2 linked regions of the Schizosaccharomyces pombe genome follow. The protein of the gene in region 1 purifies or fractionates together with the protein of each later gene. This does not show direct contact. Each region holds a gene or a part of one and is shown on either strand. Other genes may lie near its edges.

Region 1 (4,337 bases):
TTTTCGTAACTCTTCTAACAGAACTTTTTCTGAGGGACAACCCTCAAGCCTCGATAACAACTCAACGCTTTTAGAATAGGCATTCGCCTTTCTGTCCATAGCAGCTTACTTGAATAAAAGATAGAAGAAAGAACCTAACAAAAATATTCGTTCCTAGCCCCTGGTGCACAAGTTTCGTATTTATTTCGATAAACTCTGGTCAAGTGAGTGTATATTATGAATAGGTCATGTGAGTTGAAGCAGAGAGAAATGGTTTTAAAAAAGAAAACGATTAATATATATAATCGATGAAATTAATGAAAATTGATGCTTGCTTAAATTTATCGTTATTGAAACTGGCAATAATAGTTCGTAGTGGTTGGCGGTGAAGTATAGCGGTGATAATGATTTCTTGCCAAACGAAGTGAACTATGAAAACTTGCTGTAGAAGAGAACTACACCAAATAGATAGTAAGTAAAGACAATTTATTTCTATTTCATTTATGCTTGTTGATTTTGAAGTAGGTGTCATCATTCTAAATTCATCTTATTGATAATTCAAAAACTTACAAACAACACCTTTCTAGTTTTTTCAAGTATGTTTACAAACTAAAATGAAAAGCAAAATATTTATTATATTTAGCAAACAGAAGTGTGAACAACATCGAAAGACACTTCATGAAATGAACGCTTCAATAAAACAGTCAAGCACGAGATCATGCACCCAGAACACGAACTAAAACAAACCATTCATCCCTCGAGCATTAAGTCATTGAATTTAAACGCATCTTAAGCATCCTAAGGTTAAACGACGCTGATTAAATGAGTTCAGCTTGGAAAAGACGGTATCTATAAAGAAAAGCAGCAAATAGCTGATAATATATTATTAAAAGTATATGAATGCAATGCCTTCTAATTAGATTAAACCCCAAGGCTCATCACACATAAAAAAGTAACCAATTTGCTTATGGCGTCGTAAAAAAAAGGCTTTAAACCACGCATAATCTGTCACCAGGATTCGTGTTAAGCGAAGATAAAATTATGATCATTTCTGCAGAAAATTCTCTCACTTTTTTCTGTTCCTGGCTCGAAACATATATGATAATGTATGAATAGATTCACAGGTAGTAAAAACAAATACCAAATGTATTATTAGCAAATGTACTAATATTAAAAAATTTTTCACCAAAACTTGCCATAATGAGGATATGATCATGAGGTTAGCATAGAATTTAAGTCAACACAAGATCTTCAGCCAAATAAGCTATGAACCCTCAATAAACTATAAGCAAAGTAACTTTCGCCATCCCAAGGAAAAAGCCCTGCGCTATCAACAAAATTAAAGGACGTCTGGAGGATAAAAGGCAAGTATTGGAAGACTCCAGATGAGAAGAAAATATAAAAATAATGTGCCCATGCTATATAATAATAATATGAAAGGCTAATCAATTAGGTCTGTTGATATATTGAGCTCCGGTTGCAGATGGATCATTTATAACAGGAACGGTTGTATTAATGTCTCCGCCTTTTTCATCAAAGTTTTGTTTTTGATAATTTCTAAATGAAGACCTCTCTGGCGGCGGATTAATAGCTTGAGGAGTTGCAGACAGTTGTTGCTGTAATTGCTGCTGATGTTGTTGGTCTTGTTGAGTCTACAATTTAAATGTTAGTAAATGTGACTATGTAAACTTCATAAAATATCATATTACATTGGTTTTCAATAACTCGGAAACCCAGAAAATAAAAAAAGCACTATTACCAAGATATCTCATACCTTTCTCTTCAAGGTCCAATCAAACATATAGTCAAACTCATAAGATTGCCGACAAAAAAGATCTCGGAAAAGCTTGCGAAGGTAGGCGTAATCAGGTTTGTCATCGAAACGTAAAGATCTCGTGTAATTGAGATAAATTGAGAACTCCTGAGGGAATCCCCGACATAAGACCTCTGTAGGCGTAGAGATCTTCTTCTCCATAATCTTTTCATACTTTTGCTTTTTCGTGGTAGCCTTCAATCCCTGCCAAGGCAGGCTACCACGACAAAAGTAGACGAGCACATAACCTAAAGATTCGAGGTCATCACGGCGGGATTGTTCAATACCTAAATGAGTATTGATGCTAGCATAGCGTGCAGTACCTGTAAGATTCTTGTTCTCGCGATAAGGAATGTGCAGGTGAGTTTTGTGATCACGATACTTCTTAGCCAATCCGAAATCAATTATGTTAACTTGATTTCCTCTTTTACCTATTCCCATTAAAAAGTTATCAGGCTTAATATCACGATGAAGAAAAGATTTTGAATGAATGAATTCAATTCGAGAAATGAGCTGGTCCGCAAGGAGAAGAACTGTTTTCAAAGAAAACTTTCGATTGCAAAAATTAAACAAGTCTTCCAACGAAGGACCCAATAAATCCATCACCATAGCGTTGTAATCACATTCTACACCGAACCAACGAACAAACGGGATTCCGACCCCTCCTGACAAAATGCGATAAACTCTGTATTCATACTCCAATTGAGGGTGTTTAGCACGAGTTGATTCTAGCTTGATAGCGACCTCTTCACCAGAAACGACATTAGTCCCAAGATAAATGTCTCCGAAAGATCCACTGCCAATTTTACGACCAATGCGATACTTGTTCCCAATCCGGAGGTCCAAAGCCATAATAATATTATAACGCTTTTAAGGCTAAAGGCACTCGCTTTTTCTCTCCAATATACTATAGATTGAAATTGAATGATGTGGTTGAGGTAAAAGTAGGGGTTCGAAAAAGTAGAGCAAGTTAGGTAACGTAGAAGTAAAGAACTTAAAGTAAACATAACGAGAGTTAGCATTGCTTTATCAAAATAACGATAATAAATTATAATACAAAAAAAATTCGCTATGCGATTAAATTATAATAGATAGTGAATTTGCGAATATTGATAGTTTACGATGAATGTAAATAAAACATACCTACATACATTCGTACATCCAATATCTATTTTTAGAATGGGAGCGTGATGCTTTTCTTGGTTTCTATTTTATCAATTACCATTTACTGAAAAATGTAAAATGTAAGGTATGGTTTATTAACACTAAGAATAAAAGGCTAATAAAATGTGTCCTTTATAACAGACTCTTCCTTGTAATCTATATACAAAATCTAATAATATTTGAGCCCCAGTAAACGAATGATCTAAAAAGATAGAGAAAATTCGGGTTCTCAGACGAAAATAAAAGCTGTAAGATACACTGTCTTTCCAGTTGAAGCGAAAAAGACCTCCAACCGAATATTGGAGTGCGAAAAAATAAAATGAAAGAACATTTTAAAACAATAAGAAAACCTTTTTCGGAAATTTAATATTGTAGTTCTTTACATAAGAAAAGCGAAAAATGCAAGGCATTTTTCTGTTCTAAATAAGAGTTGACTAATTCTCCATTGAGATTATAAATAATTTGGGTCAGGATTGTGACGACTGAGCGAATAGAATAAAATAAAATAAAATAAACTGACAATGGGCAGGATAAAAGAAAGGGGAAAAACACGCAAAACACTGATCTAACAATATGTACAATGAGCAGTGCGGAATTAAACTTGTAAATGAAAGAGAGTAATGAAATAGAAAGACAAGGCACTTAGAAATCTATAAGACTAACCTTCTTTTTTAGTGGAGAGCCAATTAACGGTTTGTAAGCTAGATACTTCTTTTTGGCAGACTCTAAATGAGTCATCTCTAAATCCGTCGTAATTTTGAAAGACGAAAATAGATCAGCCGTTGGAGATAGCGATATTTGAGAAATGGTTTCTGGATTATTTTCTCGTTGAGCGTCATTGGACATAGATGACTCATTAGAATCACTGCAAGTAATGAGACCAAACTCATAATCATCGGACAAAGTTTGATCCAAGAATGAGTCGGCATTAAAACAATGAGAATCAGGAGACCCATTAACGAATGGTTCTAAATTTTCTGCTTGAGTATCGAAAAAGAAGGCATCAGAAGGGTCCTGAATCATTTGCGTGTCAGTGAAAGGATCAAGAGGATTCAGCAACTCCGAGTCATCAGTCTGTAAACATTTAGTTTGCAGTATATCTTGAGGATCAACTAAGTACATTTCCTCGTCGACTAAATACTTAGATGAGTAACAAGCCAAAACCCATTTAGGAGATACACAAACGATTGGGACTTGAGCAGAACTAATTTTCTTGAGAGTTTCTTGTGAGCAGTCGTAGAGTACTGCGTGAGAAACGGGATTTTCCTCGGTCATTTGTAAAGACGCATGAACAGTTGCGCCCAATAGACGCAATTGTTCAGTAACGATTTCCATTGAAAACATACCTTCTCCGATTTCAACGTAAGCATGGACAGAGCTC
Region 2 (6,087 bases), on another chromosome or scaffold:
TCTGCTTTTTTCTGGACTTCCTCGTTCTGCTTTTGAATGGACAAAATCTTTCCAGCAAACACCTCAGCACTCAACGGCGGCAAGCTAGCAACCTTTCTCTTCAGATTATAATGATGCCAGTCAGACTTCCAATGTATTTTCTGTGATTCTGCATTATTGAAAGCCACAGTACAAGTCGTGCAAGCAAAAGAAGTCGACATTTCGGTATTCTGTCAAGTAATTCAATTCTTAGCCAGTACACTTTTTTATCGAAAAAAAAATTGATATTGAAGCCGAGTCTTTCCTCAAATATATTCTTTGACTCAAACTAACTTAATGAGATGAAGTCAACCCTTTTTTACAATACCTTGCACAAAAAGGTGTTGGTTGAATCCAACTTGCCTACGATCAACTATTGCCTACATAACTTGTAGCACCACCAAATTATTTTAAAGTGTCAAATAATTATCAATTTTATTGAAATCAAATAAAATTAATTGATATGTTAAACATCTTAATGTCTTGTTTTTTTAAACTTAATTTATGCATCCCTCAAAAACATTTTCTATTGCTTAGTAACATAAGGCGTACCTTTTGATTAACCAGTAAGTCCTAAGAAAACTCATATATAGACAAAGGGCTGGAAAGAAAGAAATGGCATGCATTGTAGTTTTAGCGAGCACACGAGCTCCCACTCTTCAGGGTTTAATTAAAATTGAGTATTTGAAATTGAGGTATTTTTGAGTTAGTTTCGTTGGAATAATCATATAGGAAATACATAATAGAGTTTAATGTCTTTTCCTTTTGTTTAATAAGTTTCCTTGCCTCAATAAGAAAGTTAGCACATGTGCTTTCTTATCTCTTTTCCCTCGGGGTTTAATTAGTGTTAAAATTTCGTTTTATGATAAATGGTCAGCTGTTTCTTTTAAACCTTTCACTAAATGACTCAGTGTTCCAGGATCTCTAGCACGATTGGGATACCAATCCTCAAACAGATTATTCCATAATTCCTTCTCCTCAGTATCTTCGGGTGAAAAAAAGTAAGAAGGGTTTCCAGATGATTTCTCTTTAAATTTCATTGACCATGCTTTAAAAGTTTCAATTTGTTCCATGATTTCTTCTTCATTCATCAATTTCAAGTCATCGTCACTAAAATTTATATCCCAATTATTTGCCTTTGATCCAAGAAACAATGTAAGCATCGTAATTGTAATCTGCTTATAGTTAGCATTTTACTCCACTAAATGTGATTGAAATCAACAGTCATAAAAGATAGATAGACAGCAACATTAGAGACTTACGAAAACTTTGCTTAAAAAGGAGTTTCCATTTTTTTGCTTCGCAACCTTAGCTGCTTTTAAAAATATATTTGTAAAAATACAGTTTCTATCTCTCATATCAGAAAGCAGAAGAAGAAATAAAACTTTCAAAGAAGAATAACAGACGATAGGACCGACTTCAAGACTACAAATTTCGCATAATTTTTCTGACAGTTTAATGTTCCAATCATTGACGTCTCGCAGACAGACCATTTCCTTTGCAAAGCATCCAAACTTATTTAAAGCTAAAACCAAGTTTTGCGTTTCACTTGTAAAGTTAGCAATCTAATAACAAAAAGAAAAATCCTTACTCATTGCCATTCAACTGATTTTTTTTGTTTATTTTTTTTCTTTGAATGTATGCATTGAGTTGCTCGTGTAAACTTTCTGCTAAATCATTATATACATTGTCAATGGCAAATAATATATCTTCCTGTACAACTTTGTTGACCGCCAATCGGTGGAAGAATCTGCTGCACAAAATCATCAGGAAGTTAACGGTAGTTGAATTAAATATATCCAGTATTTCTTTATACAACTTTGAAAAGTCCTTATGAAATTCTCTCTTATAAAGAAGCTCGTCAGGAATTTGCTCTACGCATTTTATAAAAAAGTATGATGAAACACAAGATTCTCTGTATTTCTGTAATAGTAATGGAAGGTTTCGTAACATTGCTTGCTGTTGGTTTACGACCTCATCTTCAAGTCTTTTACCTGGCTTCTTCGACTAGAGGTTTAGTAATATGAAGCTTTAAATAACTTACTCTTTTGCTAATATGTGTTGCAAAATAATGGAGATAGATAGAAGAAAATTCTATCACTGCGTTGCTCGGTATACAGGGGTTTAAGACACTGTTAGTATCTTTTGCATCAAAGCGATCATAAAGCAAGAGCTTTGCAACATCCTCCCAACTGGCAAGTAATTGTGAGTTTGTATGAATGGAATGCATGCTTTCCTCAATTAATTGCTGCCTATGATTATTCATATCATATTCTCGTATGAAATCCGCATCATAAAAGTTATTCTCCTGCGACTGATATACAAATTTGTCATCGTCTTTCACACGCGAAAAGATGTGATCGCTGCTATCACGGAACCAAGATTCAAATCCTTGCTCAAGTATGAATAATAACGCATTCATTTTGAATAGGCTTTCAAAGCTGGAAACTAACAATGGGATTTTTTCACGCCTTAAGAGCTTTGATAAGCTGATTGTTGCAGTCTTTGCTTCACAATAATTTGCGTAGCGTTCATTAGTATGGGCAACGAGGATTCGCATTGTCGAGATTCGATTCTGGGGCTTCCCGTCAAATATGCAGCTAGAAACAATATTGATACATTTTCCATTCAACGATATTTTCTCCATCAGTTTCTCGCATGTCTTGAGGGCAACAGATCGAACAGAATCAATATCGTACCGACATATCTCCACAATTCTTAACGAGAATCTGTCAAGAAAATCAACCACAAAATCTTGATCTTTTTCAGGTTCATGAGAAGAAAGATAATCTATTATTTTTAAGGAGATTTTTCGGATTTGTGATTCCTATACGTTCAGTTAGTATTTAAATGATACAGCAGTAGCGATTGTTTATACACTTACTGCATCAGATAACCCCCAGCCAGAATGTCTAATCAAATTTCTGTTTATAAGATAGGTGGGAAGCAATTGGCAACAATCATATAGAGCAGTAACACACACTATACGAATGCTTGCACGTATATCATGAATCCTTGAGAATAGTACACTAGTAAAAAGGTTAGAGTCGTTAAGAAAAGTAGTATTGCCAACCTATCACAAATGTCGTGAATCATGTCAATGAACCTAGATGTTAAGTCTCTCAGTACCAGAATTTCCGCAGTTTGATTTGATTTTTCGGAAAGTTTGTTTACTATAAGGCATAAGCATCGCATGATATCACAGCAAATAGTTGTTGCAGTATGTCTAACAAGCATCCAAGGACTTGTCGTCATGGTAAAAATCCAAGCTTTTGTAGTTTCCATGAATGAGTCTCCGAGGAATGCGTCTTCCACGTAAACTTTACTGATGAATTCGACCAAAAAAAGCTGAAAACGAATACGCACCGTTTTAGCTTCTTTAGAGTTAGAAGTATAAAGATAATCAGTATAAGCGCAAGAAGACTAGCGATATGTATGGTAAGTAAATATTACAAAAAGATGATGCACACACCTTTTGAAAACTTGAACGATTGACCTGAGACAATGTTTCAGGAATTGAATCTACGTCCTGTACATCAAAGTTCGTAACGAAGGGTTGACAACCAGAGGCCTATGAATTAGTTTACGTTTCAAAGGAAGAGTAAACAAAACAGCAAAAGCTAGAAAACGTCGCGGATCATTCCTGCTAAACTTACAACTAATGCGAAATTTATAAAGGTCAGCATGAAGTCAGCGCTATTACTTTTATAGTCTTCAAAATAATGTTGAGAAAGTTGCTCGAGCGGCATATCTATATCCAACAGTTTGACTTTTCGTATGCTTGTTAGAATATATTATCGAAGACTTTTTTTCTCTTATAAGCAAGCAAACTTACGAAAAAATTCTTGTGGAAAGGCATAATCATGAGAATTTACGTGCATCTCTTCATTCGTCTCTATTTCATTATTTTCTTCATTCTCCGTCAAAGAAAATTCATCTTGTGTTCCCCATTTCCGCTTTTTTTCTGAGGGCGAGGCACAAATGCTGACATTCTGTAAACTTGGACCTTCATATTCAACATTTTCAAGCTCCACGCTTTCTAATTCAGTAAGGACTTCATTGAGATGACTGCTTGCATCTGATTCAAATTCGAATCTCATTGAAATCACTCAATTAATTGGTACGATGGTGGTTGGTTATGGCAAAGATTAATCTAACAGAAACGATGGGTTTGTTTACGTGACACGAGTCGCGTCAGTCAGTCATTAATTATTTTGCAGTTCACATACAACCATTGCAATCAAGTATATAATAATTTATTAAAGTTTTACTTTTGAAACATAAAGTAACTAATTTATGAATAAGAACGCGTTTTTACTCGGAATTTCGGGCTTTTCCCTGACCCCTTTTGAGAACCCACCAACTCCTTTTTCTCATTAGTAGTAGCTCGGTATTCCTTTGCAAAGTCCTACTCCAACTTTTGGTTAATACTCTTGTTCGTTGGTTTCATTTGAGATTTTTAGTTCTTGTACTGTTGTAGTACTAATCTTTCTGGTCAATCCAAAAGATTACTTTCCTCGAATCCTTCGTTCAATAGTATCTTCATATATTTGGGTGTAGAGTCATTTTTTCGAATTTTTAGAAGTCGAAAAGCATCTAAATTTTTAAGGATCTTTTCCAAAGAGAAGACTAGGGTTCCTACCTGAGTAAAAGGCAGTTTGAAAACCGACTTTCATCGCATGTCCAAAACTTTCTAAACAAGTGTGTGCTGGTTTACTAATGGACGTTTCGACTCAAACAAGACACGCAACATATTTTCAAGATGAGAATCAGCTACAAAAGGATCACATTTATGTGAAGAAGAAAAGTCACATCAAGTTAAATACGGGTGTTCGTGCACCTTTCAAGGCAGTAGATAACATCAATCAACAAGATGAACCAACATTGATTGAAGGGAATAATGAATCCTCCATCTCTTCGTCCACTGGCGACACTTTTGAAGAGGATTTTGCATACCAGGACAAAGTCGAGATAGAGGAACGGTCAATTCGCTCCACTCCTAAGTCTATTGGAGATGATGATTTGGAAAACCGTGAGGGCAGCTTTGACGCACCTGAAGGAATTCTTACACACGGGAAGCATAGACTACCAACAATTCCCGAGTGGACCAAGGAAGATTTAGCCGCCCTGTCTGAAGCTGCTGCTCGATTACAAGCTAACCCATCGCCTGAGGATATAGAAACTGATCCATCCATGGTACCAGACTATGATCCTGAGATATTTCACTACATGCAATCTTTGGAAAGGAAGCTGGCTCCACCTCCTAATTACATGTCAGTTCAGCAAGAGATTGACTGGGTTACAAGACATATGCTTGTTGATTGGATTGTGCAAGTTCAAATACATTTTCGTTTACTTCCTGAGACATTATTTTTGGCGGTAAACCTTATCGACCGGTTTCTTTCCATAAAAGTCGTATCTTTGCAAAAAGTCCAGTTGGTAGGTTTATCAGCTTTGCTGATTGCCTGTAAGTATGAAGAGATACACCCTCCAAGCATCTACAACTTTGCGCATGTTGTCCAAGGGATCTTCACCGTTGACGAAATCATTAGAGCCGAGCGCTATATGCTGATGCTTTTGGATTTTGACATTAGTTGGCCAGGGCCCATGTCGTTTTTGCGTCGTATAAGTCGAGCTGATTCTTACGATCACGACATTCGCATGCTCGCCAAATATCTTCAAGAAGTAACCTTGATGGATGAAATTTTTATAGGTGCCCATATTAGCTTCATTGCTGCTACTGCCTACTACTTGTCTATGCAGATGTTGGGTCATTTGGATTGGACTCCTTGCCATGTATATTATAGTGGGTACACGGCTCGTCAATTGAAACCGTGTGCCATAATCATTATGGAATGTTTGGTCGATGCCCCTAACCATCACAATGCCATTTACCGAAAGTACTCGGAGAATAGAATGAAGCGAGTTAGCGCCTTTGCTCACAACTGGGTACTAAGTGTGATTTGAGTTTGCTTTCAGAAGTTGTTAACAATGATATTCTGAGTTAGTTTGCTATTATTAAGCCTACGATATTTATTATTACGGATCATTGTCTTAATATTTCCTACA

The links.
Region 2: the proteins of hhp1 (region 1) and rec11 purify together in Schizosaccharomyces pombe (affinity purification with mass spectrometry; one study listed by BioGRID). This does not show direct contact.

What each region holds. Positions count from the first base shown.
Region 1 is NC_003423.3:1,854,165-1,858,501, forward strand, and holds hhp1 (serine/threonine protein kinase (CK1 family) Hhp1), read right to left. Parts: upstream 2,747-4,337; 5' UTR 2,645-2,746; coding exon 1,754-2,644; intron 1,632-1,753; coding exon 1,425-1,631; 3' UTR 509-1,424; downstream 1-508. Other genes in the region: lvs1 (beige protein 1), read right to left, coding at 1-99; mug176 (BRCT domain protein), read right to left, coding at 3,599-4,337. UniProt on the Schizosaccharomyces pombe protein: Involved in DNA repair. Has a probable role in repairing alkylated DNA and may regulate the activity of protein(s) involved in double strand break repair caused by gamma rays.
Region 2 is NC_003421.2:1,222,808-1,228,894, forward strand, and holds rec11 (meiotic cohesin complex STAG protein Rec11), read right to left. Parts: upstream 4,162-6,087; 5' UTR 4,119-4,161; coding exon 3,854-4,118; exon of another isoform or gene 3,788-3,853; coding exon 3,675-3,787; intron 3,660-3,674; exon of another isoform or gene 3,590-3,659; coding exon 3,491-3,589; exon of another isoform or gene 3,442-3,490; coding exon 3,092-3,441; intron 3,048-3,091; coding exon 2,903-3,047; exon of another isoform or gene 2,846-2,902; coding exon 2,063-2,845; exon of another isoform or gene 2,026-2,062; coding exon 1,610-2,025; intron 1,567-1,609; coding exon 1,281-1,566; intron 1,194-1,280; coding exon 879-1,193; 3' UTR 501-878; downstream 1-500. Other genes in the region: rei1 (ribosome biogenesis protein), read right to left, coding at 1-200; G1/S-specific B-type cyclin Cig1, read left to right, coding at 4,738-5,985.